4 linked regions of the Drosophila melanogaster genome follow. The protein of the gene in region 3 interacts with the protein of the main gene of each other region in a pairwise test. Each region holds a gene or a part of one and is shown on either strand. Other genes may lie near its edges. The genes, in order: CG14151, Taf11, Rca1 and CG11444.

Region 1 (7,910 bases), on a different chromosome or scaffold from region 3:
GTTTTTTTTTTATGGTAAAAGCAATGCCAATTTGTTAAAATAATTAGTTTTTAAATATTTGGTGTAATAAATTTCCCCATTTGCAAATCGAATTATTAAGTATTACTTTAAAATGCGTTCGTAGTTTTTGTAGTTCGCAAAATCGGTCTACTTTAGCAAAATTTAAATTCCTTGTAAATATTTTAATCGTTTAAAAATTTGTTTTATTTAATTTAAATAGCTGTAGAATTTATTTATTTAATCTAATATTAATCCTTTTTAAATATTCTTTAATTTATTTATAATATGTTACACATTTTTAAGCAACAGTTTCTATACACTTTAAAATTTGATTCAATACAAATAATATTTTGACCTTGGCTCTGGTCGCCTTTGACCCAATGAAATACCTTTCCTCCAATACCCTCCTCTTACTGGTCGTGCGCCAGCCCCACCTGCTCCTCCATCACCTCCACTTCCTCCGGCTCCTCCAGCTCCACCTGATCCTCCTGGACGCCCAGGTCGGCCAGGCATTCCCTGACCAGGTCGTCCTGGTCTTCCGCTGCCAGGTCTACCCGGTTGCCCTGGATTAGCAAAGGAGCTTACATGTCGAAGACTCCTCTGTTTCATAGGCGGACCCACAGCGCCAATCTTCCTTTCGTCAGCTTGGCCTACGAAGAACATTATTCAGTTAATCTTATTAGAAAGTTATTTTTATAAGATACCTTTGTGTAACCAGCCTAGGCAGCAAATTAGCAACAAGATGGGCACCGTTCGCATTTTTCAAGTTGACTGATCCACTTAGTCGGAAAAATGTTTTATATATAGCACTCTGTTCACAATGGAGAGAAAAACTCACCTCGAAAGAGAGGAGAACTACTCACTTTTGTTTGAAACAAACTATATATATTTCACTGATTTCAATGATTGTTTAAAAGGTGTCTTTTCGATACTGGCTTATCGACATGACTATAAATTCTAGACATGAGTTTGAGGAGCACTCCATGCTGTGGAAAATAACTAGATGTTTTTCCGATTTTTCCATCCATCTATTCTGCACCCAAGACCCATTCTCCGTTTGTCAACGGCGCTCTAAAATTTTTGTTTGTTTTATCGAAATATGTTTCATGGCACATCGCAGTCTTAATAAATACTAAAGAGCCATGATGAGCTGCTGCCCGGGCACACAAAAGCCATCAAATCCCGTACCAGTGCCACGCCCCCACCATTCTGCCGTCCCAATCCGAAATTCTGACTATGACTATGACGCTGACGAGCTGAGCAGAGCTGAGATGCTGAAATTCTGCGCTATGCTGTGCATTCCCAATGGATTTGCTCGTGCGTGTCGACAAGAATTTCAATTTGCAAACAATAAATTTGAGCAGCCAGTCGCTCCTTCGAGGACGACCAATGTGAGCGCTTGGAGACCAAAGAAACCCGCAAAAAAAAAAACAGAGAAATATACGTATATAAAAAATAAAAAAGTTTGAAAATAAACGGACTTCCAGCAATGTTTAATAAAGAAGAAATATTTTGCTTTTCACTTTGGCATCGCGTTGCAAGTGACAAGTTGACAATCCACGCACTTTGTTCCAAAGCCCGGACAAATGGAATTAGATGCCGAATTAGGACTAAAACAGCTTGAATTTGATTTCAATACGAGCAGCTGAGATCTGGAAAACTTAAAGCGGCGTAGGAGGAACGAGAGCAGACAAGACCGGAAGCGCAGAGCATGAAACGGAAATGAATCAATTTCCGTGCTGCAGACCATTAAAAACTACAAAAGCCCTCGAAAGAAGCAGATGAAGTACAGGAAAACGAGAAACAAGAGTCGGCACAACAGATACAAAATATGGTTTTCTGTCTGGCGCCGTATGAACGATGACCTATGACCCGGTCAAGACGCATCTGTTGTATAGAAAACTGTAATTAAATCATGTCAATATGGAGATATTAATATAGACGTAATATTTTTGAAACTTTTAAATGAAATTTATGAATATAACACAAACATATTTGAATTTATCTCTTCTGATCTGAAATCATCATAAAATGATATCTAGATTTTTCTGCCACTTTGGTCTCTTCATTTTTCGTGGCATTGGACAAGTTCAAGAAGATGGTGTAGATAACATAGATGAAGCCAAACTCAATTGCTATCAAATAAAAGCCACAAAGATAATAAAGTTAGTAACTAATTTAAGGCAGAAAACGTACCCATGGTCAGCAGGGAGATCAAAATGTTGGTCAGTGCCTCAATAGCGTCGCCCACAAAAAGTTCGTAGACCCACCACAAAATGAGGAAGACATCGAAGACCAAACCACAGGCGCACCATATCAACCATAATGTCATAAGCTCCGGTTTTTGCTGAAAATACGAAGAGAATGAATGGAACGGAGTTGATGAGACTCAACGGGATACTTTTCACCCACAAATGAGATGCCAGCTATCATGAGCAGAGTGACCCCAATCCAAATATTCAGCATCAACAGGTAGCCCCAGAATATCCAAATGTTTTCGCTTTCACTCAGCTTTTTCCTTGTCAAGAGATCTCGAGTACATAAATTGGTTAGAACACTGCATTTGAGTACCTTTATTGAGTGCACTTACTGGGCAATGAATCTCTATGGCACTTCTCTTGTGCTTCAATCGATGCAACTTCTGATTTTTGTGCCAATCGACGACGTCGCATCATATAGAACATTATCATTTCGAAGAACAAAACTCCCGCAATGTCCATCCAGCCGATGGCCATTCCAAAAGCATTCAAAGCATTCATCACCTTCAACTTTTTCTTGTCCAATCACTATGGTTTTAGTTGATACTTAATGGTTTTTAAAAACATTTTATATGACAAATTTAGCAGTGTACCGAAAAATAAATAGGGTCTGAAATAAGATTGCTCAATAGGAAATGCGAACAAACTGGAGTTAAAGAAATACAAATAAAAATCTTAAGCTTGATAGATTTCATTTATTTAAGAACCTTTTTTTTACAATTTTCAAGCTTAAGTTTGATAAATACATTTGTTAAAGTGCCATAATTTATTTTAAAGAAACTGAGCCTCCATTACGGTTCCATCTCTACTCAAGTTTCCTGTTGCTTCTGTTGGAAAAACTTGAACTGGAAGTGAGATGTTTAAAAAGGCTTTGTCGCACCCCGGGGATCAAAATGTGCTCCCACTTTTTCGCCCAAGTTGCAAATGAGCGCGAAAAAAGTAAAATTATATTTGTCAACGGGGATTCCCCTCGTTCTTACTCACACTCACTACCACACACACGCTCACTCACACACAGGGTAAGAGCAGTGGCTATGTGTGTGTGTGTGTTTGCGTGAGCCGACGCCGCACGTATTTCATCAGCGTGGCATTATATGCATGGGTATATGCTTATATACTTACGTACACTATACGGTGGTATGTCTCATTTTTTCCCTGCATAAATAGATGCGACAACCATAGCAGCGGAACTTGGCTGTCATTTCCGTTTCCGTTTTGATACCGTGTGTGGAGTGTGATCGAACAACGTAGTAATTTGTTTAGCTGAGCTAAAAAAACATATTAAAATATACCCTAAATATGAAGAAAGATTTTAAGTAATTGTTAAATATGCTCTATCTATACATTTCAAAATTAATTATTTATAAATGTACTAGCAAATTTGAAGAAAACGGCTTAAAAATATACTTGTATTATCTATTTACACAATCATTAGTTATACACTCATTGAACTGATCATATGTTCCTATCTTCAACTGCCACAAATAATGTTTTCATTTTTCGATATGATCTCCAGCAAGAAATCGCTGTTGATATGGGCCTATGCTATAGGATGCTTTGATCTGATCAGCGCATTGCTTTTTTCCATGGTCAGTTTGAAGACAATTTGCGAACACGTAAGGCTACCCTTTAAATCTTTATATACAGTAGAAAATCTTCAGAAATCTTCTCACATTTTTCCAGCTAAGTTGGCTAACAATTTTTGCCGCTATTTTTGGCCTCTTTTGGATAACAATGATTGTGATGCTGCTGGTTGGCATTCATGGGGTATATTCGTATTTAAAAAGGTGGCTCACGGTGACAGTGTAATGGTATCCTTCGCTTAATTACAGCGCCATCCTAGTTGTGTTCGTGCCTGGATTATCTTCTCCTGCGTGGGAATCATGGTCGAGATGTGCCTGGTGTTGTATGCCGTTTTCAACGAGAGCTCCTTCCAAATGGGTCTGGTCAAAAATGGACTATTACTCATGGTGGGATTGAGTGAGTGCAATATTAGAAGTATCACCTTAAAATTAACTTTATATTTTTCTATCAGTTGTGGAGTGCATTTTTCTATACATCGTTCAACGGTTCTACGTGACTTTGGCCTTTTGCCAAGCCTGTCATAAGGCTATAGCCACAAAAATAGCACAACAGGAAGCTTGTATGGATTATGAAAGAGAACACAGTCACCAAAGGCATCATTTTAATTATGGCGAAACCAAAAGACCTATTCAAAACCAAAATAGCAGGGGAAAAATAGTTAAAAACTCTCCGTCACAACCAATGAAGATGGGTTTTTTCAGACCTTCAGACAGCAGCTCAACAACGTAAAATGAAGGGTTATATATATTTATTTTATAGCTAAAATATTAAAAGACAAGTTTGTAAAAATATTAAAAATATATTATTTATCTACAGGGCATGCAACTCTTCGAATTCGTTTAGCTGCATTTGTATCTCTAGATTTTTTCTTTACTCACTGCTGAGCAAATTATTTTAAAAGGATTTTGTGTTTAACATTGGCGTTCTTGTGTGTGTGTGTGTGAGTGGCTTGTGTAGGTGTGAGTGGTCCGCATCCTGCGTGTGATAAAAGTTAAAGAGCTTGTCTCAGACAAAAAGAAAAGTTCAAATCAATGCATTCAATTTCATGTTTATTTTAAAAATATAAAAATCAATACTTTAAACACTTAATACCTTCACTTTCGCATTTGTTTCTGAAGTTTTTTGAGAACGGCTTTATCTTTTTTCATACGCTCCTTGGCTTGTTTTTCCATCCGTTTCAGATCCTTGCGATCCAGTGGCTTTTCCTCTTCCTCAGCGTATTTCACATCACAGCCACTCCTTTCTCTATACTTCTCATCGGGAGGCGTTTCTGTTGCACTGTAATCAATCATATCCAGATAAAGTAGGTATATGATATAGACAAAAGTCATTTCCACGGCTAAAAGGAAATTCAATTATATATTCAGTAAATTAAATACGCTAATTATTATTTAGACCTACCCAGTCCTACGAAGGGCAGCACTGTGATTTTGACACCTTCCCAGTTCACAGATATGGCCAAGGTCAGGCCGTAGAGCAGTATAAATCCATCTAGAAGTATTCCCAAGCAGGTGAACACCAACCAGAATCGTACCAGTCCCAGTTTTCGCCTATAGATACCCGCCATCAAAACTATGATTATAACCATCCAGAAAATGGTGAAGATCAGTGCAACCAAGGCGGTCCAATGACCCTGCAAATACCAAAATTGAGCCACAATTTCCCTGAAAGGACTGTGGCCTAATTGTCTTACATGCCTGGCAAATACCACTCCTGAGATAATTGCGAATAGCAGGGCGGATATGAAGTCCAGCAAGGCGATGCAATAGGCACAGGGCACTAAATATCCATCAGAATTTGACCCCATCGCCCAGGCTAAGATTCATCACATCACTGGCAATGTTGTCTACTAAATCAAAGCTATAATGATGATAAGCACGTACTTGGCGATTGGAGAAGGGGGTTACTCGGGTCTTGGCGGCCTGTTAATCAAAGCCGTTTGATTGCCAACATTCATGGACACAGCACAGTGGTATTCAAGCGTGGGAATGTAGGGAGACTCAGTGGCCAAAAGTACAATACACTACAGAAGTTTTCAATATATGCCAAGTTCAATGTTCCTGCGAATTATATTTAGTTTCATGAATTTTTTTGTAATTTCCGTTTTAATTTATACATCTAAATTACATGCATTTATAATCTCTTCATTCAAATACTGAGCTCTAAAAATAGCTGCCAAGTGTATTCCCAAAACATTCTAAACCAATGTGAACTGCTTTTTGCTGGCGAACTTCGTTCCTCATTTATGGCATTTGTTTTGTCAGCAGGTCCTGGAGATTGAATTGTCCTTTTTCCTGGTCCCTCGATGGCAACGTGACCACCTATCGTCCTCGCAGGCATCGGAAAATAGATGGAAAACTGTATAAGTCAATTATTATCATTGCTTATGGGGGGTCGGGAATTGATTTCCCGTAAATAGAAATCCAAATAACACATGAAGAAAACCATTTTTAATTTATTTTAGTAACTCCAAAGGGATTTTGAACCGTGTGTGGACATTGAACATAATGAAACGAACATAAATGATCATTATTAATCAAGCTTTTTGCTGTTTTTGTCCAAACTGGCATTTTATCCTTTAGAAGATCTTCCAGAAGTCCTGTATTTTGAACTTGGAGATTGGGTTTGAGTCTCATTATCTCTGTAATCTTCTGTTTTTCTATCTGAAATTTATGTATAGTATATCGTATAAATCTGTGCTTAAGCTATTCACCTTTAGTAGTCGTATCATAATTATCACCCTCCAAAAGGACGTAGGAATATAATCTCCTAAAGTATCTGAATACCAAGTATAAGCAAGTGACCTCGTAAACTGCAAAGATTTATAATTCAATGTCTAAGAATGCTATTAAATTAAAAACATACAGATTCCCAAATATGAAATGGTCCAGCGCTTTAAATGTTCTGCGTCGAAAATAGGAGATGAAGTAACATTCCATATTAAATAAATAATATCCGTAGCAGTTGCAAAGGCAGTGAACAGTAACCAAAATACGAGCAGAGTTGGTCGACTCTAATTAATACGAAACAGTTAAATATGTATATAGTTGGTAAATTTTTTTAATTCTTACTGTCAATAAACCAACAAACAGTCCACCAACGGTCGCAATCCAAGCTATTGTACTTAGAAAGGCCATTATGGTATACCAATTCGTCTAATGCAAAACAATAAATGGCTAAAAATGTTAAAGAACGTTCTTTTCAAATACAATACTTACGTGCAAGACCATGAGTGAAACTGAACTAAATGAAAAATACAATGAACGCACCAGTTCAAAAGCGCCAATAACAAAGCATGTCCTTAGGAGATTATCCGTAGGCAACTTTAGCTCTCCCGATTCAATAGACATTTTGTAAGAAATAAATTTATTCGATACACAAATGTTTGAAACAATCTAATAAATATATATTTTTTTAGTACGGAAATACAAAGCCAACTAAAGTTGAAAGATCTTATTTTTTGCCTTTCTTCTTTTTTGGGCTTTTAGACTTTTTCTTTTCGTTTTTTCCGCCACCTATATAAAATCGATTAGTAGTAAAATGTAATATTAGTTTAAAGCTATCTTACAACATAGGGTCCTCTTCTTTTTCGATTCATCCATAATCTGATAGTACCGATGTATGAAATATATGCAGGCGCTTTCAACAACTAAAATTATACTTAACATTAGAATTGTATTTGATTTTAAATTTAAATATCACTTACATATTCCAAGGAAAATTATTGAAAACTCATTAAGACGGTCCCAGTCCACAGTTATTGAGGTCGCAATGCCCCAAAGTAGAAATAGAATATCGGTTATAAAGCCGACTATGGAAAATATAAGCCAATACCTTACGAAAACTGGCTTGCGCTAATGTGTTTATAATTTTAGGAATTAATACCACTAAATAAATAAATTCAAACTCACCTTATAAAGGCCAACCATCAACAGGATGACCATTATAACCCAAAAAATGACACCCAAAAGCGCCAACATAGCAAACGCGCTGAACTATTATTGGTTTAATTTAATGATTATTAAGAATTTTGTGTTTTAATTAAACAATAGCTACCTGTTTAACCAG
Region 2 (7,854 bases), 2.9 Mb from region 3:
CGGGTTGCCCGTCAATGCCAGTCAACTGTTCCTCAAAAGACCAACATCGTCGAATGTGTGCTGCATATTTAACTATAGACGGCCGAGCTATTCCCAATTTCTGTAAGTGTATCGTACATTATATGGCTATCTAATATACAAGTTTTTAAGGACCAAGCGAGCTGAGGAAGACTCCGAAATGAGAGCTGTTCCAATGGTTGTCTTTGAATCGAATTCCATTTTGAACAGCGTCCAATTTGTGCTGCAGGATACTCCAAAGGAAGATATCACAAATACCTTTCATTCCAATAGTGCTTTTCAAGTGAGTTGATAGGATTCCAAATTGTAGTCTCCTATCCTTTTTTTTGCTATTATCCTTAGCTCATAATTTTCCCCCAAGAGGACTACGCCACCATTCAGTCTACGACTTTGGGAGAGGTGCTGGTGGATCACTACAGCATAGTGGAGATTCCCATCCAGCCGATGTTTTTTAGTTCAGGCGATGGGGTTCGCGGAGTCCCGCCACATATACGACGTTGTTACTATCCCGAAGAAGGCATGCGGTTGCTGAACCAGTAAGTAATTAGAAACCAATCCGCGGAATACCTGGTGAACATCGTTCCTACAGATCGTACTACTCCCTGGACGAGTGCCTTCTGGTATGCCGCATGAAGAGCATGATCGATCATTGCGGCTGTGTATCTCCGCCCTTGACCGGCAGTTCCATGGATCTCGACTATTGTATGCTTCCCGATCTTCCATGCCTAATGAGATGGAAGAGCATTTGGTATGGCTACAGTGACTTCGCCTACCTGCAGAACAAGGAAGAGAACTTGGTCCAGAGGCAGTGCGAGCACTGTTTGCCCACCTGCAACGGAGTTAGCATGAGTATCACCACCAACGTGGCTCCTTTGAGACGGACTTATAATAGCAGTGGTTACTTTACCGGGTTGCTGTAAGTGATGTACCACAATTTCTTTGATAAATAATGAATATCGAATATTTTAGAAAGGGATTGACCAACGAGCGACCATTAGCCATTATAAAGCTTTTCTTTAAACTGCGCTTTGCCCAAGCCACAAAATCTCAAATGGTTAGCAGTTGGGTTGTTCTGCTAAGTGAGTACAGTAAATAACTAAGACGAGTAGTTAAAAAATATTAACTAACCCTTTAGATCGCTTTGGAGGCATTCTCTCGCTTATGTACGGTTTCAGCATAGTCAGTTACATAGAGATCCTGTACTATCTTACAGGCAAAGGATTTGTCTACATATACAGGTCATTCTTATTAGATAAGGAGCCTATCAATCACAACTATTCACTTTACTGGCGTGAGCTCCGTAGCAATCTGCCAAGACAAGAACAACTTCGAAAATAATCTCACTCCGCTTATATTCTGAGCATAATACATTGTATATATAATTCGGTTGGCGCATGCTCACAAAAAATCAACAATAGAATGAACTTATATCAAAAACCGTATATAATGCAAGCCATACATCGCCGAAAATCGGTCACTGTCCAGTTCCTCATCCCACTAGTAGTCGTCGCCACGGGAAACGACTTCTTTGCAGGTGGGTCGCAGCATAATTGTGTGTTCGTACTGAGCCGTGTAGCAGCCCTTAATGTCGCACAACGGCGGATAAGCCTCCACAATGCCCTTGTCGCACAGATCCTTGAGAGCCATCTGGTACTTCGTGGCACCGGCGCGGTCCAGCCAACGCTTGCAGAAGGCCAGGGTGCCGAAGTTTTTGTTGATGGTGCCAAGCAGCTGCTTGGATGACTGCAGGCGCAGCGGCACAAACGGCAGATCAAAGTTCTTCATGTAATGCGAGCAGTCCATATCGTCATGGACCAGACCGCGACCCGTCGAGCCGAACGTCTCAATGGCGTAGAATTCATCCTCCTCCATGCGAGTGGACTCTCCGCCTTTCACAATGGGCACCGTTTTTCCAGCATGAATGCCTGAGAATTTAATTTTAGACTTCATTAAGTGTTTGCACAAATCACAATAAATTTAAACAAAAAATATTAAGGAAAGCATAAGCATATTTAAAATATTTATAATAAATAGATTTTTGCTTACGGTACGGGCTGATGGAGTGTCCATTTAAGTTGCGAATCGCCTTGATGGGATATGTTTTGCCGTCCAACTCGATCTCGTACGACTCCATGACCTCCTGGATAGCGGCGCCGATGTCGCATAGGCGCACATCGATGCCCGCCTCTCTGATGCCCGTGTTGGTGGCCTCCTTGACGGCCTGCAGCAACTTGTCGTACTTGTTGTTGAAGGTCAGGGTGAAGGCGCAATCAATGATCCGCCCCTTGATATGGGTACCAAAATCAATCTTGCACACATCGTCGTACTGCAGTACAGTGGGGTCTCCGGCATTGGGCGTGTAGTGGGCGGCGCAATGGTTAAGAGAGCAACCAGTCGGGAAGGCCAAACCAGCCTCCAGACCATTTTCGCCGATCAGGCGCCGAGCAGTGTTCTCCAGCTCCTCGCAGATTTGGATCATGGTCATGCCCGGCTTAATGTAGCGCTGCATATACTGACGCGTCTGACGATGGGCCTCAGCCGCCTGGCGCAATTCCTGGTAGATGTCCGTGTTGATACGGTCCAGAGCACGCTTCTCCTCCGATGTGAATCGGTCCTTGGCCGTACGATCGTCGGGCATATCCTTGGGCGTGGGGTGCTCCACGATCTCGCCCTCGGGGAAGTTGCCGTCCGGATAAAGCTTAGCAATGGGTATGGTGGGCGGATCAGTCTGACCGCTTTTCTTGCCCTTGTTCCCCTTCTTCTTTGCCGGCTGAGCGGCCGGTGTTGCCGGTTTGGCATCTCCGTTTGTGGTCAGCTCCTCGTCGCCGCCTTCTCCGGAGGCTATTTTGGCTGCCGCTTCTGTGGGCAAGTGGTTAGTTCAGTGGGTGGTGGGTGGTTGAGGCGGAGAGGGTCGTGCAAATGCAATTACCACAGTGCACTGCTCGCATGAGGTCACTCACCTTGGCGGAGCTTCTTGTTGTTCGGCTTGGGCTTCTTTTGTTTCTTGACCTCCTCGCCGATCTCGGGCGTTGCCGCCTCCACATTCAGAGTCTCGGTTGCAGACATTTCGCAGTGCCTTGGTTGCTGGCTGAACGATGAAATAAACGAAAATGTAGCGCGCACTCTTGCCTGGCGATGGCGATGCGGAGAAAAGAACAAAAACACGAGGTGTCAGAGGCCAGTGCTGTAAAACGTGCTGTGGACTATCGGAACCAGTGAATGTTCAATTTGAAATTTACATAATTTGACTTTGAGCACTAATTTGAAGAAAAAAAAAACACTACAAAAATAAAAGTTTATCGAATATTGTATATTTATATATTTATTATTTATTAAAATCTCAAAGCCACCTTATAAACAACTATGATATACCTTTAATATATTTAATCCGATATTTTGAATTATATTCATCTATTATGTGGTGCGGAACTTTTGAGTGTTGCAAAAAGCGAATATGGTGCAACTCCATCCCTGGTTGATTTTGTTTATTATTCGCTGGTGCTTTTCAAATTTCATTTAAATGGACGAAATCCTCTTTCCCACGCAGCAAAAAAGCAACTCCCTAAGCGACGGCGACGATGTCGACCTGAAATTCTTCCAGTCGGCCTCCGGCGAGCGGAAGGACAGCGACACCTCGGATCCGGGAAACGATGCGGATCGTGATGGCAAGGATGCGGATGGGGACAACGACAACAAGAACACGGACGGAGATGGTGACTCTGGCGAGCCGGCGCACAAAAAGCTCAAGACGAAGAAGGAACTGGAGGAGGAGGAGCGCGAACGAATGCAGTAAGTTAGCTTAAAGCGATTCGAAGGGGTAATCCTATAAAAACTATTTTATTCCACTCCAGGGTTCTCGTTTCCAACTTTACGGAAGAACAGCTGGATCGCTACGAAATGTATCGTCGCTCTGCCTTTCCCAAGGCCGCCGTCAAGCGTCTAATGCAAACTATCACCGGCTGTTCCGTGTCCCAGAATGTTGTGATAGCCATGTCCGGCATTGCGAAGGTCTTCGTCGGCGAGGTTGTGGAGGAAGCCCTCGACGTGATGGAGGCCCAAGGTGAATCCGGTGCCCTGCAGCCCAAATTCATACGAGAGGCAGTGCGACGACTGAGGACCAAGGATCGGATGCCCATAGGCAGATACCAGCAGCCCTATTTCAGACTGAACTAGCGAGTCGAGACATTAAGAAATATAGTTTGTAAGGCTGTTAGTCAATATAAAAATACATAAACAAGTAAAAAGTAAATAAATATAAAGATTTTTTTAACAAATCCCATATAATTAATTTTCTCTATTACGAATAAATTCCGAAACGTGTTTTTATAAGGAAATTTATTTTTCTTAAATGTTTTTGACAGGTCCGTATGGCGTTAAACCTTCATCTACATCAATTTTATGTAGCTTATTTACGTTCAATGTTATTTAATTAATCCAGTCATTAAGTAGATATTATTATGTAGTTGTCATCCCATTTGTTGTACAGTAGAATACGCATCCGTTTACAAAAGAATCTTTATTGAGTGGGATCGCTAAATGAATGTGTTCCGAAGTTACTCCATTCGCCGGGCCTCGGCTTGCATGGTCTGCAGTACGATGTGTGGCACCAGGTGTGTGGAGGCGTAGTTCAGGGGCACCGTGGCCAATGGCGCTGAGCCGTCAGATGGGAAGTTGAGCTCCTGTGCCATGGGCATGTCCCTGTCGATGACATCCTGGGCGATCAAGGTCTTGGTCTCCTCGTACTCCATGCCCGCCTCCGGCTTAGCGCCCATCAAGAGTTTTCCGCGCTGCACGCCCATGTACTGGGTGGCCTTGGCATTCAAAGGCAACTGGCCGCAGGTATCGGCATGCACCTTGCGATGTGCCTGCAAGTTGGAGATGCAAGTGAAGCGCTTGCCGCAGTTATTGCACAGGAAACGCTTAATGCCCGTGTGCACGGTCATGTGGGTGAGCAGACTCTCCCTGTACGGATACTCCTTGGGACACAGGTGGCACTTGTACGGCTTGTAGTCCGTGTGGCGCGTCTTCAAGTGCGACTTGTATTGCGCCTTCACCTTGAATGTTTTGCCGCACTTATCGCACTGGTACGGAGTGTCTGCCTTGTGAAGGAGCATGTGCGTCTTGAGAATACTGCGGAAAGGAAGATGCGTTACTAACAGTCTTAGAATAAACATTCAAACACAAATAGTTATTACCCAGCGGTGGACAAATGTTTGCCGCAAACGCTGCAGCCGTAGAGCGGTAGACGGCCGCAGTCAGAACGAACGTGGTCAGAGAGCGATGTGCGTCCGGTGAACTTCTTGCCGCACTTGTCGCAGATGAGGTTGCGCTGCTGGCTGCGCGGCTCCTTCTTCGAGTGGAAATTGCGTTCGTGGTTCTTGAGGCTGTCGTGTCCGGTCATGTACTTGTCGCATTTTTCGCAGTAGAGCAGTTCCTTGTGCTGGGCCCTAGCATGCTCAGTGGCCTGTTCCTTGGTGGCGAAGAAGAGGTTGCAGTAGCATGGGCACTTGAAAGTCAGCTTGCCATCTTCGCCATGCACCTTCATGTGGGTGACCAAGCGCTTCTCCACCAAATAGATCTTGCTGCATATGGGACACTTAAAGACTTCCTCGTCCAGCTTAGCATGGACGTCCACGTCCTTAAAGATCTCTTTCATTTCCGCCTCATTTAACTTGTGGTCGTCGCGCAAATGCTTTTCGTAGGGCTTGCGGATGTGGTAGATTTTTACGCAGTGAGGACACTTCCAGGATTTTTCCATCTTGTTGATCATCTTAAGGCGCTCCTTTAGCTCCTTTTTGCTGATCTTAGCTACGCGTTTTGGTGTACCCGATGAATCGTCAGGCGAGGGCGATCTAGGTGCGTTTCGTTTGCGATACTTTCTCTTGACCACAGGTATCTTTTCCTTTGGCGGTCTGCCCCGCTTTCTTGGTCCGGGAGGTTTTTCCATTTGATGACCCCTCAGTTCTAAGACATCTTCTTCCGCAACCTCCACTAGCGGCACGGCCGCGATTTCGTCTAGTATACCAGCGCCCTGTTCCACCTTTAGGCTCTCAAAGGGCTTTAAGCCATCACCCTCATTGAGCAGCACATCCAGCAGCTTATCCTTTTCGTTGCTAAAGATATCGGTGCTTTCGGTCTTCACATACATGCTGGCGTCCTGGTACTCGAAATCTTCTTCGTCGAAGGCCTCCACCTTGACCATAGCCGGCGGAGGAAGCTGGAATCCGGATGCATCCGCATCGTCCTCACTGTTGTTGGGTTCGAAGTCGGGACACTCGTCGCCCGAGTCCGAGTTCTGGCTCTCCTGCTTGAGCTTCGTCTTCAGACGACTGGCCAGAGGAATGTCATCATCGCTATCTTCCGATTCTTCGCTGGTGGTATCTTCATCATCAGAGTCCCTGTTTCTGTCCTTCTTGCGGAAGGCCTTATGTTTCTTCATCCCATCGGATGAACCGGGCGAATCGTATTCCGGCTGTCCACAGGTGTCGGGACGACTGCGTCGATGCTTGGATAGGTTAGAGGCGCTAGAGAAGCGGGTGTAGCAGCACTTGCACTCCATTGGTCGGGATTCCTCCTAAGGAAGAGAAAGTAATTATTATTAATATATTTACAAACGGTTCCACTGTTTCGGTTCTACTCACCCTGGGTAGCTTTTCCTCGCCACACTTGGTCCTGCAGTGGCGACGGTATGCCTCCTGGTACTTGTACTCCGCGCCGCACTTTTCACAAACGAAAGGCTTTCGCTCCTGTCCAGCTACCGCGCCAGTGACTCCGTGCTCATCCTTTGCATGCTGGGTGAGCTCCTCCTCGTGGCAAAACCGAGCATCGCAGTGACGGCACTCGAAGCCGCCCGGCGGCTGGTGCTTCTTTACGTGCTTCACATATCCGGCTAGGGAGACCAGCGCCTTGTTGCACACCGGGCAGTGCAGCTTGGGTATTCCGTCGGTGGTGATCTCCACCAGGAGCTTGGTGGCTGCAGCCGCCGCACTGCTGCTTGGAGCCATCGACTCGGTTTCTGCGAGTGGGGAATTGAGATTATAGCATGTTGGGGCGAACGTAAACAAATGCAAATTTGATTTTCGGTTGGTTTGGGTTTGTATGCGCCTACCAGGGCTGGGTCTTTCAGTTCTGTCTTAAATGCACTTGTCGCAATATTATTGTATTTATATTTATCATAGGGTTTAGTAAAGAAGCTGCATTGTGCACAATAATAATAACTATGTAAATCAAATTAGATCTAGTGACTTCCGTTTTTTCTATTTTTTCGTTTTAAGCAAACTATCAAATTTTATTATTATTCTTTTGGTTACTTTAATTTTTATAAGCAGCTTCTTTCTGATAAATTATTAATTGACATGACATTTGTAATTTTCAAGTTTATAAATTAATTTAGGATATTCATTATTATGTTAATAATGGTTTCAATTTATATTATTTTCAATTTCTATTTGATTCAAAAAAATAATAAAAGCTGTTTTCCAATGGTCATAACATATTTTAGTGCCATAAAATGAATGTATTCATAAGTCTCCTTTCGAACCAACTATCGGCAACGAGCCCTTTGTTCGATATTCAATTCGTTCTTGCAACCCACCACCACTACCACCGACACCTCCAACAACAACAATAACACCGACGACGGCAGCCGATTAGCGACGCTGTGCTGCAGCCCTGGTGGCGTTGCGTTCGCCGAGTCGATGGGCAAGTGACGGGGGAGGCGGGGCAGGTAGGCAGGACAGCGACTTGAAGTGCGCGCATCACGCACAAATGCTCCTAGTTGGCCTGCATCGGCTGTACCCCAAAACGGGGCTCCACCTTAACCCCCCGATATCGTGC
Region 3 (8,343 bases):
TGTTCAGCTAATGCTTCGCCAGGGAAGAGAAGCGGCATCAGCGCTAATAGCACCAAATTTGTGTCATAGCTTCCGCTCACCAAGGCAGAGGTCAAGTGACGAACAGCGAGGGGAACCACAGGTTGCCATTCCTCATCCTTTTCGGACTGAGCACGATACAGCAGATGACATAGGGTTTGAGCCAGAGGCAACGGACCCAACATCTCGGCGAGCTCTTCGGTAGGCAATGATAGCAAGGTTGAGACCACAGCACCGCTATCATCATTTATCCTATCGGGCAGACATTCCTGCAGAAGCTTAACGCTTCTCTCCCGCTTTTTAGTCACATTCAAATTCTGGAGTAGTTTCTGAACAGCACTAAGTCGCCAGTCAGCGCTGTAGTGGTATAGTTTTTCGTAGGCGTGCTTCGCTTTTTCATCAGTAGTGTTGAGACGGAAGCCTTCAATCGAATAAAACATTATATACAATAAATATATAAATATTATTATTTTTTACTTACCCAAAGCCAACTTTAAGGCCTTCTGGCGATTGCTTGTGGAGGATTTCGATCTCAAGGCCTCTTTAACGCTCAGATCAAAAGCTTCTGGATAGCGTCTCTCCAGCTTCTCGAGGTAAGTGGAATACCAGGCTTGAAAGGTGGTCTTTTCCGTCTCGATCTCATCATCCGAATCAATTACAATGGTATCGTCATCTTCGTTTGAGTTAGTTTCCATGGGCTCTGGTGCATCGATCGCAGTCTCTACATAAGTATCCAAAAAGCAACTGAAATGGTTAAAGTATATATGTTATTTAAATCGGAACAGCTGAATCGTTTTAAATTCAAGTGTATAAACTCTTATTTTTATTATTTTCGATCGATACTTCTAGTACTCACTTGATCAGTTGCTGAGCAGTCGGCTTTGGCATTGGCACCTCTGACAGCAGGTTGTCCAAGAACAGTTTGCATGAGTTAGAAGAGGCGTCATCGTCCCGAATGGCGGCCACGGCTCCGGTCATGAGTGGCATGCAGATAGACTGGATGGCGATGTTGCCTTTGGCCAGGGAGGACAGAGTGGAGATAAGCCACTTCTTCCCAACCAGATTGAGTATGGTTTCCGGCTTAAAGTGCGGCAATGCGGCTTGCTGTTTGCCATAGATGCAGACAAGCAGGAGCAGCGACTCACTGTGAAGCCTCTCAAACGGGCAGTTGGCCACGCGTTCCAGCAGGGCATTGCACACCTTGCTCTTGAGCTTGGTGCGGGAAACAAGCTGAGCAACGATCACATAGGCGGCCGCCATAAAGTCGATATTATCGGAAATCAGGCCACGAAGCAGCGACTCCAGAATAGTGGTGATGTGCCAGTCCTGCAGTGGTTTGGCCGTTTGCAGGGCGCCAACTACGACGGTGGCATAGAAGTTGATCTGGGCTTGCAGTTGGTGGGCTCGAGGACCCAGTTCCTTAACCGCCTTCTGGGTACTTTGGCAGATGAAGCCGAGGAAGGCGGGATTGCTGGCGGCTCTGTTAATAATAGCAGTCTTGGCTAGCGGAACGCCAGGACGCTGCAACGGGCGCAGCCAGTACCAGTCGCCATCCGATGACCGGAGCCTCATGGTCTTAACGATCTGGACAAAGATCATTGTCTCGTGATAGGGCAGAATCAGGGCCATAACTTCGCTACGGTTATACTCGTGAACCTGGAATCGTCGCAGCAACCATTCGAAGGCCATGTGTGCGGGGCGGAGCAGAAGGTACGGCGAAAGAAGGCGCAGAAACTTTGCAATGGCCGCGTCCAGCATCTTGTTAATCTCCGGCAGCTCCACGGAACGCTCCAGCGTCAATGTGGCCTCATCGAACAACGTTAGCTGGAACTCCTTGAAGGCCGGATTAAAGTCGGTCAGCTCCTGCAGTCCCGTTAACCCGATCTCATAAATGGACCGCCGATCCTTGGTGGCCGCCTCCTTGGGATCGAAGAGTATGGAGGCGCGACTTCGTGCATCTGCCAAAGTTACCGACGACTGCGGCGCAGCCAGTTTCTGCAGCTGCTGTGCCAACGCAGTACTCATTTTGGATGATCGTTTTTTCCTTTTTTCTCAAGTTAATTAAAGGTAAAAACGGAGAACAATAAATGTGCGGCAACCGCACTCCACACGTGTTTTGTTGGTGTGGCCAAAGATCTCTTGGCAGTACACAAAGTAGCTTACGGTAAATAGCGCGCATTGGCGTTAGCCAAGACCCAAACCAGTATACTACAGCTGATTTTAAACATTTTCTGTTTGAATTTATTTTATGCAATGCAATCAATAATAATAAAATATTTTTAAGACTTGCCTAACATATTAAGGCTGCCTTTGAAGCCTGTTATAATGATGTATAATAACAAAGCCTTACATGTTAATAAACAGGAATCACTTTCCCCCAGTTATAATTATAACAATTATAGTTCTAAAAATGATTTATATATTTTGCATGTGTAAAAAATACTTAATCTCGCAGAGGTACAGAATTCCGACAAACCTTACATGGAACGATTTAAAAACATATATATGAATGTACGTGATGAAATGGAACTTAATGCGATGGACATAATACGAAATTAATGAGATTTAAAAAAATCGAATACTAATCGTAATAGTTAAAAGCCTATGATAAAGCTAAAAGCAGAGCCGCTTGAGCGAGTTCTTCCTTGTGATTTTCGGATCACGGTTCTGGGCACGTTGTGGCGGCGTCAGTCGCTCCCGTGGCATCATCAGTTTGGATGGTGTGTCCAGTTCGGTGACCAGGCAACGCTCGCCGGGATGCGACTTGCACAGACAGTTGACGCAGAACCGAAACTGGCAGATGACACTGGTGCATTCGGCGAAGTTATATGGCGGTCCTTGCGGTGAAGTCCTGACCTCGTCAAGATCCAGGGACAGGAAGCGTTTGAGAGGCGGACCCGTCATGCAGGGGAATGTGCTGGTTGTACGTCCAATAGGCAGAGTTTGCGACAATAGGTTTTCGCCACACTTGGCCGCCTCGCTTATGAAAACCCGGCTGCCTCGACCGCATCGCGGACACTTGACGCGCTGCGTCTGCTCGCGCAGCACCCTTCCGGCATCCACGTCCATCAGGTGGATGCTCGAGTTGCCCGAGTCCATTAGCGAGGCGGCGCTGTTGGCCAGGCTGCTATGGTTCGAGGTCTGCAATGGCACTGTGTGGTTTGCCTTGGGCACATGGCTGCACCGCTTGGGCACGTGAGGATTCTCTTTGGTTAGATTCAATTTGAGTCGGTGGTTCTGTAGGCGCTCCAAGTCGCGTTGGCTGCGATAAACAGCCTGCTTCCAGGCCGGCGATACCTTGGTCATCACGTCCAGCGTGTGGGCGCCCACATGACGCAGTATGCACTGCAGTGCCGGTTGCCATTGCGCCAGCTTGGCCACGATATCCAGCTTTTCGACACCGCCGTAGAAGCGATTCTTGGGCGGTTCTTCTATGTGGGGAAAGAGCAGCTTTTTGGACTTCTTGGGGCTACTGTGTGGCGATTGAAAGTGTTTCTTGCGTCGCTTGGGCAGACTATGCTCATCCTGCAGACGCGGAGTCATAGAGAAAGGCTCCTCCTCCGCGGAAAATTTCTTTTGGGGCTGTGTTCTGGGATAGGGCTTGCCCCAGTAAAGGTCCTGCTCCTGGTGGCCACTGGGCGTGTTCAGCCCCCGAAAGAATGTTGTGGTATTCGATGCATTGCGACAGTTTTCGCCCTCAGCGTCCTCCAATAAAAATGGCGTCTCCGCGGTGGAATTGTGCAGCGCCAGGAAGGATGTGTAGCCAGACTCGTTCATCTCCAACTCGAAGGATGACCCTCGGCTTGGGCTCTTCTTCCGCAACGCCGCGCGCCGATAATAGGCGCTCATCTTGACCGAATTTTAAACTTTCGAATTGTTATGCTTTTCGCATCGGTTGATTGTTTTTGGGTACGGATCAGTGTGACCGCCCCAATAAAATACTAACTGGCTACTAAATAGATACCAGTTCATTGTCGGGTCAACTCAGAATGCTACGTATCGCGTTGCCAACCATTTGATATATATTATCGTGACTGTTAGGCAAACCATTTAAACTTGTGCATTAAAAGATGCCACTTGATCGGATTATTGGAATCTGACAGTTAATCGTAGACTCCTATTAACATAAGCAACTTCAGCCATTTATAAACATGTCTAAAAGAGTTCAAGCTGTACAAGATTTGAGGTTCTGGAATAAGATAGCGTTTTTTCATTCTATGCAGTGTGTACATACTTCCATATTAGCGAGTACACATTCCAAAGCTAGCGAAGACGCACTTGCGACTAATGCTCTCGAAAAAAGAAGTAAAATAAAGAATAAGAGTGATAAATAATATGTATAATCAGTTCATTAAGTTAAAAACACCAAGAATTTGACTTTCAATAAATTATATTTCCATGCCTTACGCCATAAGTATAAAATAAATACCTATATACTCAGCTTATTGCTTTAATACCAATTCGAAAATAGAAAACTTTCACTTATTAAATATGGAAATAAGTAATAGTTTGAAAACATTCACTTTATAAAAACGGGATTCCGTTTAACATCTTATATATTATTATTATATTATTATATTATATTATATTATTATATTATATTATATATATTAAAAGTGTATTTCATCGTCTTAGCTTTGAAGACATTGGTAAAATTATGTTGATAAGCTTATAAAAATACTCTCGATTAGCTGACATATGGTGCTATTTAAATTTCTACGCCTATAACAAAAAGATTTTAATCGAACATAAGTATATCTATATCTATTAAAATTGAAATCATTACAAATTATTTTATGAGATATGTCTTCTGTTCCCTGTTTGGCCCAATCAAAATTCGGCAGTCAGGATAATCTGGCCTTGGCCATCATCAGTGTCATCAAATTAACGAAAATCCCTCAATAATTTATCATTTGTTCTCCCTGACTCGTCCTTAGATTTTTTCCGTTCCGCTTCCCTCATCTTCTTCTTTGCCGCGTCCTTTGTGCCCACTGACAAATTTGCCAGCTCAAGTTTTTTGTGCAAATCATGACGGGGCATAGATTTGGGATTCATGTGAAAGTCTTCCTTCGCCGCTAGGTGGATAGTTTCGTCAGCTGTCCATAGAGTCAGCTAAATGAAGCCCCATGACCCACCACCACTGGCCAACCCATGCTCGTGCCCATTCCCATTCCAAGGACCATTTGCAACCGCCCGACGACTTCATCCACTTGCTGGGAAAGATGAGAGGTCGAGAATCTGTTGTGGTTGCCGGGGGAAAATCAATGAATGATATTTCCTTTATGAGGCTCAATTATTTGCTGCGGGGATTTGCTATTCTACCCCGGATTCTGTCATCTGGTTCGTGCCTCATTGTCCTTCTAAATGCTTTGGCAAAATATTTTGGGTATTTGCGCTGCCTTTTGTCGGCCAGCAGCTTCTGCGTTAATAATTTATGAATACTTGCTCGTTTATTGTTTTGCATTATTTATGGTTTTATTATTTGTCTATTTGCTGCCACCAAAAGGGGCGTGTCGGCGGGCAAAGATTTTGTTTTGATTTTAATTAAATCGACGGACAGACGCACATCGGCTTAATTTAAAGTCATTTGACTGTTCTAATCTCTTTTCCACTGACCGGTTTGCCCATCTTTTTTTTTTTTCGGGCGTGGATATGGCAGCATATTAATTGTCGTCGTGGCTTTGGGATTAATCTGTGGTTCATTTGGTTCGGTCCTGGGAAGTCGTGGTCACCCTGTTTGCTTTGAGATCAGAGGGATGTTAACTAATGACTTTGTCAATGGGAGCCGAATGAGTCGAACTAGGGATATGTGCTAGGCATTGATTTATCTTAGGTGTATATAGAAGATAACTGCAATGATATTTAAAGTATTATATAAAATATTACAAGATTTGCTAGAAATAATATGTTGTTGGTTGAATAATGAAGTAGTGCTCTTGCACTCATAAATATTGTTTTCAAAAATAAGTCTCAACTCATTTCCTTGACTTTACTTTAAGGACTTACATTACTTCCTGTACAAATCGCGACTTTACCATACCATGAATCTATTTGCCTTGTCCTGCTTCGAGAATGCTAACTAACCTTCACCCCAAAAACTACTGTCAACAGAACACAATTCCTTATGGCTGAGGGAAAATCCTTGAGGCAAGGCAAATCCATGTCCAAAAGGTCGCGACATATGTAGCGCATATATGCATACATATGTTTTGATGTGGAGCTATGTTTGCACGGATATTGATATGCGGCTGATTAATTTGAGTTTACGCACCAGAACGACCCGGAATGATGACAAATGGGGGAAAGGAAGGGCAGCTCCTGTCAATATTTGCACTCAATCCGTACATATGCTCTAATTATTATCCTTTTGGCAGTGGGCAGTGCCCTGTTTTGGCATTATGTCGCTGCACGCACACCCATTCCACTCCATTGGTGCTTTAACCCATGACAGCCCGATCAAACATGGGTCGGTCGCTCGAATCAACTAATTATGGTAATTTACCGCGGAATGTCAACAAATATTTTGTAACCGGTTATTTTATCGCACGGCCGCGACTCACGTAAGTCCTTCGACCAAGGAAGGAAGTCACCCATCCACACTGGACACACTGCAACTGGAACTGAAGGTGGAGGATGGAGGATGGGGTGGAGTTGGAGATGGAGCTGGCCAGGATGGCATTGTGAGTTGTCGTGGCTTGGAGCTGGACGGGGCAGTCGGAGCATTTGACAAACGATGTTTACCGCGGTGGGAGGCCATCCTGGGTGTCCTTGCGGCCACGCGAAGTGGTCGGATTATTTTTAACCAAACGAACGGACAAACTCAAATGGCTGTGCAAGCAAAGTAACCCGAACTGGAACTCAAACTGGAACGGAACCCAATTCGCTTGATTGTGTTTGATTTCGGCGGTGGGTTTATAAGTATATGAGTACTCATTCTTGCTACCCTTTCGTAGGTTGTTAACTTGTTAAAATTGAGTTGTTAATGGATGTATGTTCCCTAGTTTTAAAAAGTTTGAAGAATATCTTAATGTCACTTTTACTTCTTATGTTTAGAAAGATTTAATGTTGCTGCTTTCTAGGGTATCTCAACGTTTGCACTTTCTCTACAAGTGACCAACTATTTGCTCTGTTTTATGATGGCCCACTGCGTGGTAATTCATTTTTAGTCAATAAATCGCTTGGTTACCCGTGCTTTTTTGTCCTTTTACCTGGGAGTGGCGAAAGGAAAACAAAAATTAAACTGATTACCGGGCCAAAGTTGAGAGCCAGAGGAGCATTATTAATTTGATGGTAATAAGGGAATAATCGCACTCATTTATCATTTTAATGTTTTCGCATTTCACGATGTGGGCGAGCCAGAAGTCGAAGGAGCAGTTAAGTCTGCCAGATAAAATTTAATCATTTCTGCGATCTATGAATTGCAGAAAAATAGGATAGGAAATCCTATAGAAGTGCTCTCAATAAATTGCAAGAAATATTAAAAAAAAAAAATACCTATCAATCAGCGAAAATGTATTAGGAAATTAAAAATGTTTTAAATAAAATTGAACTGCTCCTTTTTTTTTTTTGGTAACTTGATACATTGCAGTATCAGCAGGCAATTTGCGAAATTTGATTGATTCGCCAATTGCGATTTTGTTGTATTTTAAAAAACAAAACCATCCATCCCAGTTTCTTTTTTTTTTTTGAATAGGACACGTGCATTGCACATGACAAATGGCTGAACTCAGATGTGCAAATTTAAAAACGCTTTATTGGGACTTGCCAATTAGCAGATTAAATTACAGAATAAAGTAAGTACTTCTTTTCTAGTTAGATAAATGCTCTTGACTGGTATTCATTTATTTTTCTGTTTTCTTTAATTTAAATGCTTTTTCTACATTTTTTCTAATTTCGAGTTGGTAAACTTGACACCACGGCCACTACAATTTGTCAAAGTAGCAATTGGCAAGACAAGTGTCCTGGGTGGAGAAGGGTTAAGGGTCAGTCGTCTGAAGATCCCACAATTGGAAAACCCCCGAGCCCATTCGCATCCGTGTGAATTAATCATGGGGCAGCTATTTCAGTTTCGGTGGAAAAATGCGAAAAGTACACGGAAAAACGGCTTCAATTTGAATAATAATATGACGAAAGGGCCGGACCAAAAAGGGTTGACAGCCAGGTGCTGGTGGGTGTATAGGTCACCACATTGGGGTGTCACTGTCACTCGGTTCATTTCGCATTCACAACATGCTCAAGGCATCGCGGCTCCCATTGCCAATTTCATTTAGCGGCATCATTTCAACTCGTGCCTTTGTCATTTTTTCTCAATTTCAGTCCGTTTTT
Region 4 (8,379 bases), on a different chromosome or scaffold from region 3:
TTTTTTGCATTAAGATAACATAACTGAATGTAAAACTAGTGGTAAATATAAATACGCGATCTTAATGATATTTTTTTGGGAAATTCGAGGTAGGAGGTTTTGGACAAATATAAAACATAATATAACAAATATAAAAATAAGCTGTCTGAAAACAGAAATAAACAAAAGAGTTCTTAGTTGAATACAATTCAAAGCTTATTTCTTATCGAATGTGAAAAAGTCGTTGTTTAAATATTCATTAAAAGATATTATTAATTAAAGTGACATAACGATGCTGTATTATGCATCGAAAGAACCTCCTCCTTTCGAACATTTCCGTGTATAAAGCCTGATAAAACTATACCTGAAAACTTATCCTATACACACACACACACACACTCGCACACGTCTCTTGCACACATACCTAAATACTAATTAAGAACAGATTAATCGTACAAGCTATTTTGTGACCAAAAATATTTGGTTGCTTTGTGAAGGGAATGTGCCAGTCCATCTGTTTGTAATGGCAATCATTACTATGTAGCCTTTGTCGCCTTCGCAGGCATTTGGGCCTTGGCCGCCTTAAGCTGCTCCAAATTGAACTGTTTCCGGATTTCGGTGGACACCTGGCGAATGACCGCATCCGTATTGGCCTTTAGATCCCGTTCCAGCACATCAATGTCCACATCCTTGCTCTCCAATCGCATTTGCATGTCCGAATAGAAGTCACAAAACAACACCGGTTCATCTGAACCATTCGGCGTCCTCGTGCTGCAGTATTGACCCCTTCGATGGAGATCATCGTTGTTGGTTTTGGCGTCCAGGCCAAGCAGACGTCTCGCTCCCAATGGCAGCTGCTGTTGGATCAATCTCTCGTGATTCTGAGAGATGTGATGCTTCAGCTTCTTGAACTCCTTCACCTCGTTCTGCATGTACTTCACATAGCTATACATCTTGGAGGTTTTCTTCGTTAGGTTCTCTAGGCAACTTATAAAGTTTCGCACCTGCTGTGTTCTCGGCAATGTGCTGGGATCCAGTCGCTCGGCTTCGTCGAAGTGCTGCAGTGATCGATTAAAGTCGTGTTTCATGGCCAGTGCAGAGGCCAGGACCACATGATTCTCGGCCACATTAGGAGCATGTTCCACCGCAGCGGTCAATATCAGATCGGCATCGGCCAGTCGACCCATTCGAAAGAGTATGGTACCCAGACTCAGCAGGGGTATATCCTTAAAGATCGGCGGAGCCAGCAAGGCAGCCAATCTGGCACAGGGCAGGGCTTCCCGGGCATTTCCTCGCATGCGCCAATAGTACGAGCTTAGGGTGTGGAACTTCCAGGAGGCCGGATGATGCTGCAATCCGTCCACCGCAAATCGCCGGGTCAATTCCACGGTGGCCATGCCCACATTGGTGTCATGCTCGCGCTCCAGAAAGGCAGCGGCCAGGACCTCGGGCCGAAAACTCTCCAGATGATCATAGGTGGCTGGACCCACGCTTAATCGATGGTAATCGCTGCATATCGGCTCCATTCCCATCGAGGATGCGCTCTTCTGTATGTGCAATTGCCTCTGGTCCGGAAGATTAATCCTTTTCAACTGCTCTGGCGTAATTTTCAGGTAAGACATTCGCTTCTCCAGCATGTAGTAGTCCATGGCGCACTTGGCCTGCTCGGCCAGATCCTCACCGAAACGCATCGAAAATCGTAGGTGCTCCACAATCTGTTCCCGCTTGCGCAGCAGATCCAGATAGGAGCGCTCCACATACTCACTGTACCTGATCTGCTTGAGAAATGCCGCCAGATTGTGGGGTTCACGCATGTGGAATGGAGAGTCCAGTTTGGGCACGATCTGCTCCTCGCGAAGAACCCAATGATTGCAGGCCTGGATCAGGTGAAAAAGGCCAAGCAGCACGGCGAACGCCAGCGGGCACAGGCGCATCTTGTAGGATTGCAAAACCAGGAGGACGACAAGGATCCGGTAATCCAAATGCAAACAAAAAATAAACAAACTCGCCGTCGTGTGACCAGACCCAAGCAAATGCATTCGTTGTTTTTAATACTGAAAAACATATGCCATACTATTTAAGTTGGGTATTTAAGGGAGCCCGCAACAAGGTCATACTGAACTTGTGCATTTCGAAAAACGTGCGGATTTCTTAAGAATAATTTCGGAATTGTTTTTAACCATATACAACTACTTTTACGATATGGGCGGTCAGGGCAAGGCGATCAATAGGAAGCGTAAGTTTGTCGGTCGCAAGGCGGACGATCCGGAGTTCGATCTGGACAAGAAGCAATTCAAGGTGCTCCATCTGAATGCCACCGAAAAGCGGCTGATCATCGTTTTGGAAGGAGCCCAACTGGAGACGGTGAAGGTGGGTCATCATCCTTCCATACATATATATATATATATATAAATACATATTTCCATTGCTGCAGGTGCACAACACTTTCGAGCTGCTGAACTGCGACGATCACGCGGGAATTATGCGCAAAAACCAAAGAGATCCCGGCTCCTGTCGTCCGGACATCACCCACCAGTGCCTGTTGATGCTCTTCGATTCGCCACTGAACCGGGCCGGTCTGCTTCAGGTCTTTGTGCGCACCGAGCATAATGTGCTTATCGAAATCAATCCCCAGACGCGCATCCCGAGGACATTTAAACGCTTTGCTGGCCTAATGGTGCAATTGCTGCACAAGTTCCAAATTCGCGCCAATGACTCCTCACGTCGTCTGATGAGTGTCATTAAGAATCCGATTACGGATCATGTGCCGGTCGGTTGCAAGAAGTACGCCATGAGCTTCTCTGGCAAACTATTGCCCAATTGCCGGGATCTGGTGCCACATGGTGACGAGACGTCGGCCAGCTATGATGAGCCGGTGGTCATCGTTATTGGAGCCTTCGCACATGGCGTTCTCAAAACGGACTACACGGAGGAGCTGTTCTCCATTAGCAACTATCCACTTTCGGCGGCCATCGCGTGCTCCAAAATCTGTTCCGCCTTCGAGGAGGTTTGGGGCGTGGTATAATCCAAGTCCAAAGCATTGTTTTTCTTAGTTTAGTCATAGCTAGTAGTTAGTCTACATATTATTCTTTTGATTGCCTTCCATTAAAATTTGGTGGAATATCCAGACCAGAATACTATTTTCATCTTTCTTAAAGTTTAGAACATACAAAGACGCTTATATATATAGTTATAATATAATCTGGGATCCTAATTAATCATCACGAAACACACGCACTTTCTCTGTTTTTACAATTAGTTGGTTTATTTATGTTAATTGCAGTTACAAAAGATAGGCTTAGAAAACTTGCATAATTTTGAAGGTATGTTTGCGGTAATTTATGCTTAACTAATTGCACTGTTCATCAAAAGGATTATTGCGAATTTTGTATACGTTGCACGATTGAGAGCTCTATTAAATCCCACATGGGAAAGGGAAGGTTTCAAAAGGGATGGATTATCTACTTGGCACCCGGCTTTTTGGTGCCCACATCGGCTGCCTTCTTTTCCGCCTCCCGCTTGGCGGCCGCCTCCTCGCGCTGCTGCCGGATCAAAGCCAATCTGGCCAGATCGGCCTTAGCCTCGGTGGTTTTACCAGCAGCATGGAGTTTCTCGTAACGCTGGCGCGCTCTCTGCTTTTCGATCTGTTCGCGTTCGCGGCGAGAAAGCTCCGGCTTGGGATTACCGCCGGCACCGGCTGGCCCGTCGTCCAGCTTGATGGCCGATAGCTTTTGTGTGGCCTTCTTGGTCACCCGGTTGGGATTCTCGATTTCGATGAGTGAGGCCACGCCCTTCTTGGCATCGCGCGCTTCCGCTTCGGAGTCATCGTCGGAATCCTCGCCAGACTCCGATTCCGAGGAACTTGCCGCACCGGCGCCCGCCGCTGATCGAGACTTTTGATTGCGATTCACGGGCGCTTTACGTGTGGCGGGTGCCTTGGCTTTGGACGCAGAGGAACTGGCTTTGCCGCCGGCAGCGTCTTTATCGTCGCTATCTGATCCCGAGCCGCTGGTCTGGTCGCTATCCTCCTCCGATTCCTGTTGCAGTTCCTCGGGAGATGTGAAATGGCGACTGCGACCTTTGTGGTTGACGAACTTTCCTCGTGGCATGATGATTTATGGACTGATCCTTACGGTTTCCCGGGTATTCGCAGGTCTCTCCTCCTGTATGTCCGATGTGCTTGTATCTAGAGCTTTTACTCTGGCTACGTTAACGGATTCTTACGGTCCGTTTATGTTTCGAAAATTATCTATATTTAATCACGTTGTAAAAAATTTTTTTGCACTATTCACAGTGTTGTACAGTGCCGGTCAAAAGTGCGCCCGTGCATTCACTGCATAGTAATACCGCATAAATAACACGAATGGTAATACCGTATCACGCCTGGCGCCCTCAAGTGTTCAAGTTTGCTGTACTCGGTAATTAACCGCTTCCATAACCGTTTCAAAACAAAGCGGGAAATTCGAAAATGTCTTTGGTTGTTTAATTTTTTGAATTTGCTTATTTTTTTTTTTTTTTGCTCACTTCGCTTGACTAGCACTTTGAATAGGAGCCTACTTAGCGTAGTTTCTGAGCATTGCAAGTAACTTTGGGATAAACTCTTTAGTTTTATGATTTTTTGTTTATCATTGTAATTCTAAAATATAAAATATTTGTATACATTGGAAATTAAATACATATATAATTTCCTTGCCCTTCACCTGCTATCTATCTGTATATAATCTCACTAAAAAATATCCCGATTTTGGAAGTGTGCTCTTTGCGGCTTTTATAAGAAAAAAAAACGGAAAACTGCTTAAAATTGAAATAAATAAGGCACACGTGTTGGGAATTCTCATTTGGGCGATGGCAAACCATAAATTAGTGGTACATATTCCACTCTTTTCTTTTTATTGGGTCAACACCATCGATTGAAAGAAGAAAAACCGATTTTACTTTTACTCACTGATTGGTTTCTTTTTTGAAACCGCCATTTTGTCGATTCGCTGCAACTGCAACTGCAGCTGCACAGAATCTCGAGATGCAGGAAAACGTGATTATGTATGTATGTATGTTTGTGTGTATATAAATGAGTCGCACTGGCATTGGTCTGCTGCTGTGATTTGCCGGAAAACCAGTTTTTCTTCGCTTTTCACTGGCCGCCCGCCACAAGTTGCAAGCGAATAATGCGGCATTAATAACCAGAAATAAACGAAAATCGTTTTGCATATTTGTGTCAGCGCACATTCCTCGATATCATGCATCTCATTAACGGAAACTCTCACATATGTACAACTTATTGATTTTGGCCGGCAAGAAAAAAAAAACACAAAAAAAAAAAACAATAAAAAAAGAGCCAGAAATATAACCAAATATAATATACTCGAAAATTTAATGCACGAATTAATTATGAATTCCATGTGTGCTCGCCACGAAAGCGGCAAACAAATATTCAAAAATTCATCGTAAATGCTGTTCTTCTCGCCCGCTCTTCATTTCCCCCGATTGTTAAGTGAATAAATTTAAATGAAAGTTCTTTTATTTATTGCTATTACAGCGGCAAGATGCTGCTTATGCACTTAGAAAGTGCGCCATGCAAATGAGAAGAAATTAGTTAATGGAATTCTAATTGCGTATACGCACTTTCTTGCTGCGTGCGTCAGTTTTTTTTTTTTTTATACGATCACTCAGATCGGATGGCGTATAAACGTATATCTACTATATATCTATGCATGTGTGTGTGTGTGTGTGTGTGTGTGTTGTTGTGTTGCAGGTGGGCCAGGTTTTCGTAGGCGTGTGGGTGCGGGATGTTTGCACACTAGCGATGGGGAAGTTGCCCCCGCGTTGTAAACACCTTATGATATAATTGTAATTTCGGCATAGAACAATTTGTATAACTATGAAAAAGAAGAGCATTAACTTATATTCATTTTTTTTCTTGCTCAACTTTTTGCAGTCACTGTGCACAGTGGACAATGGACAATGGACACTTCTCCCGACATTCGGCACTCGACTTCACTGTGCTCTGATTCCCGATACGATCGTGGTATATGCACATGTACATACATATGTACATACCATGTGTGTACAAATGTACATATGTATAGTAGAGCAGGCACTGTGATGTCTCGCCACAAATGGGTCGATGACAGATTGCGTTGGTTGCTGAGGCTGATTGTGATAAAAAAAAAAAAAACAGAGCGCACAGAGTACAAAATCGAAAAGAAACGAAACAAATTCCCGTCTAATATCGTTTGGTGAACTCCGATTTGGTTGTCGATCGGGCGTCGCTTCCCCCATCATATTGCCTTAGTTTCCATTTGTCTGCGTGTGTAATCAGTAATCAGCACTTGATATCAGTACAAGAACAAGGTGTGTTCTTACTTGTTACTGCTACTGTTGCTGCTGCTGGTGTTGCCCGTTGATGTTGCTGCTGCTGCTGCTGCTGCTGCTGCTGCTACTTAAAGAACGTGCGCGACATACAAATATGTGCTGCTGCAGGCTCTGCCAGTGCTTACTGTACTTTTTTTTTCGCAATTACTATGCACAAAAGGCAACACTTATTTATCTCCACAGTTGGCCACATCTCTTCAGTCTTAAGCCCATTGATTTCGAACCAGGCATTACTTAATGTCCTAACAATGTAGCACCTTCTAAATGGATTTTCTTAAAAATAAAATAAATGTAGAATAATTATCTCAAGCGGCTAGAGAGAGAGAGCATTTCAGCTGCCATCTCTCCACCACCAATGCCAAAATCCATCTTGGATTCTTCGGCGGACCTGGATCACACCCAACTATTTGGCCCGCGGGCTGCTTCACTCCTCTTGGCTCTGGAAATTTACGATGCTTCATTAGCATTCACACAGAGTGGACAATAAATGGCCGCAGCTCGGAGTGTGTCCCCGTTGAAAATGCGTTTGACTTGGTCCAACTGACTTAAGTTAGTCGGCGGGCTCAACTAAAAACAAAAAAAACAAAAAAAAAAAACAGAAACAAACTGTGATTTGGAATGTTTATTGGCTTTTGTTGGCCAATTTCGCTAAATGTCTCTTTTTCGGTACATTTTAGGTAGAAAAAAAAAATCTCGAAAACGAATTCAATAAATTAATTTCGTTTTTGGCTCAGCAGCATCAAAGAAACTTTAATCCCGCTAAGAAATCTGCTTTCCCATCGTTGTTTCTTCGCTTATTCCATCAAAGGTCAATTTCGCTTTCTATACTCTTTTGTCGAAATGCGGTACTATGTTTTTATCTGAGCATATGAAAGATGACTTAAGAATGAGGGTATTTAATATGGCAAACTTGGTTGGTATTTAATGTTGCAACTACAACATTGAACTTTCGCACCACGTGTGCTGAGCTAACCTTTCGTTTCGGAATATCTAGAAATGCCACACCAGTCCCTTTGTTCGTTATCTGCTCTTTGTGCCAACTGTCGGATAAATCATCTCTTTGGTCAAAATAAATCTTTAGCACAACTCAATTGTGGAGAGGAATGTGTCTGGTTTAAATTTAGTCAATAGAGTCACCAGAACTATTTTTACGAGCTGCGACATTGGACACGGTCCCCATGTTCAACTTTCCACTCCCAAAAAGGGTTGAAATTCATACAGAGAGAAAAAAATCCCAAGAAATTTAGGACTTATTTACATATATTAGGACTTTATACTGGGCATAAAGTTTACCTCTTGACCTTTTCATACAAAAAAAAAAAAAATGAATTACAAAATTCTTGAATTACATTCCAATTATGTACGTACATATGTATAAAGGTGTGGCTAAATTTAGCTAGTTTTTTTCTTTGTGCAAAATGATCGCAACCTAGATGACCCACAAATGGCCCTTTTGGCAGAAACTTTCATCCGCATCGATTCGGGGTTATTAATGATCGGTCGATCCATTGACCCCGACAGAAAGTCAAAGAAGAAATAGTAATAAAACGGGTTCTCGGAAGAAGAAAGCCCAACGATGCTAGCCAAGCTGCGATGCTGAGCTGATGAATAATTCAGAGCCCTCGGGTTCGTAGGAAACCGTAGCTTTCGGTCAACTGGGTAGCTAAGCTACTACGCTGAGCTAAACTGCTCGATCTGGCCAAATGGACTAGCTAGCATATATATATATTTTTTTTTTGGCAATTAGCCGTGGGTCAATAGGTCCGTGTGGTGCGAGCTAATATAAGCCGGTTGCCGATCGTCGGCTAGCTCAGTTTTAGACGAGATGAGGAACGGCTGTGTCTGGGCTTTATTGGCTCTCGGGATGTGCCTGGTGGCCACCAGGGTCGCTGGAGAGACCATGATCGAGGTGGACGAAAATGGCGATGAGTACGAGCTGAAGCGATTCTATATTCAGGGTCGCCAATTGAAGGGCGATGGCAGTCAGTCGCAGTGTGTGGTCACGAGAAGGAAGCGTTCGGGTCGTGC

The links.
Region 1: the proteins of Rca1 (region 3) and CG14151 interact in a two-hybrid assay, tested with the Drosophila melanogaster proteins (one large-scale study listed by BioGRID).
Region 2: the proteins of Rca1 (region 3) and Taf11 interact in a two-hybrid assay, tested with the Drosophila melanogaster proteins (one large-scale study listed by BioGRID).
Region 4: the proteins of Rca1 (region 3) and CG11444 interact in a two-hybrid assay, tested with the Drosophila melanogaster proteins (one large-scale study listed by BioGRID).

Annotation. Positions count from the first base shown.
Region 1 is NT_037436.4:10,622,805-10,630,714, forward strand, and holds CG14151 (uncharacterized protein), read right to left. Parts: upstream 5,681-7,910; 5' UTR 5,650-5,680; coding exon 5,536-5,649; intron 5,476-5,535; coding exon 5,244-5,475; intron 5,182-5,243; coding exon 4,937-5,181; 3' UTR 4,876-4,936; downstream 1-4,875. Other genes in the region: CG42521 (uncharacterized protein), read right to left, coding at 334-650, 705-759; CG43127 (uncharacterized protein), read right to left, coding at 2,002-2,135, 2,197-2,347, 2,413-2,531, 2,591-2,759; CG34238 (uncharacterized protein), read left to right, coding at 3,764-3,874, 3,942-4,025, 4,091-4,238, 4,294-4,571; CG42536 (uncharacterized protein), read right to left, coding at 6,414-6,505, 6,556-6,654, 6,708-6,855, 6,914-6,997, 7,061-7,192; CG42535 (uncharacterized protein), read right to left, coding at 7,296-7,357, 7,411-7,491, 7,549-7,696, 7,754-7,837, 7,899-7,910.
Region 2 is NT_033779.5:9,758,859-9,766,712, reverse strand, and holds Taf11 (TBP-associated factor 11), read left to right. Parts: upstream 1-3,450; 5' UTR 3,451-3,538; coding exon 3,539-3,807; intron 3,808-3,869; coding exon 3,870-4,191; 3' UTR 4,192-4,289; downstream 4,290-7,854. Other genes in the region: ppk18 (pickpocket 18), read left to right, coding at 1-102, 151-301, 361-554, 608-934, 988-1,097, 1,154-1,356; und (uninitiated), read right to left, coding at 1,516-1,943, 2,065-2,877, 2,979-3,084; zf30C (zinc finger protein 30C), read right to left, coding at 4,572-5,148, 5,214-6,592, 6,660-7,033. UniProt on the Drosophila melanogaster protein: The TFIID basal transcription factor complex plays a major role in the initiation of RNA polymerase II (Pol II)-dependent transcription.
Region 3 is NT_033779.5:6,847,946-6,856,288, reverse strand, and holds Rca1 (regulator of cyclin A1), read right to left. Parts: upstream 3,975-8,343; 5' UTR 3,868-3,974; coding exon 2,632-3,867; 3' UTR 2,423-2,631; downstream 1-2,422. Other genes in the region: l(2)k09022 (lethal (2) k09022), read right to left, coding at 1-439, 500-762, 875-2,043.
Region 4 is NC_004354.4:4,549,895-4,558,273, forward strand, and holds CG11444 (uncharacterized protein), read right to left. Parts: upstream 4,505-8,379; 5' UTR 4,089-4,504; coding exon 3,441-4,088; 3' UTR 3,223-3,440; downstream 1-3,222. Other genes in the region: CG11436 (uncharacterized protein), read right to left, coding at 516-1,913; CG3527 (uncharacterized protein), read left to right, coding at 2,182-2,349, 2,414-3,004; CG3546 (uncharacterized protein), read left to right, coding at 8,216-8,379.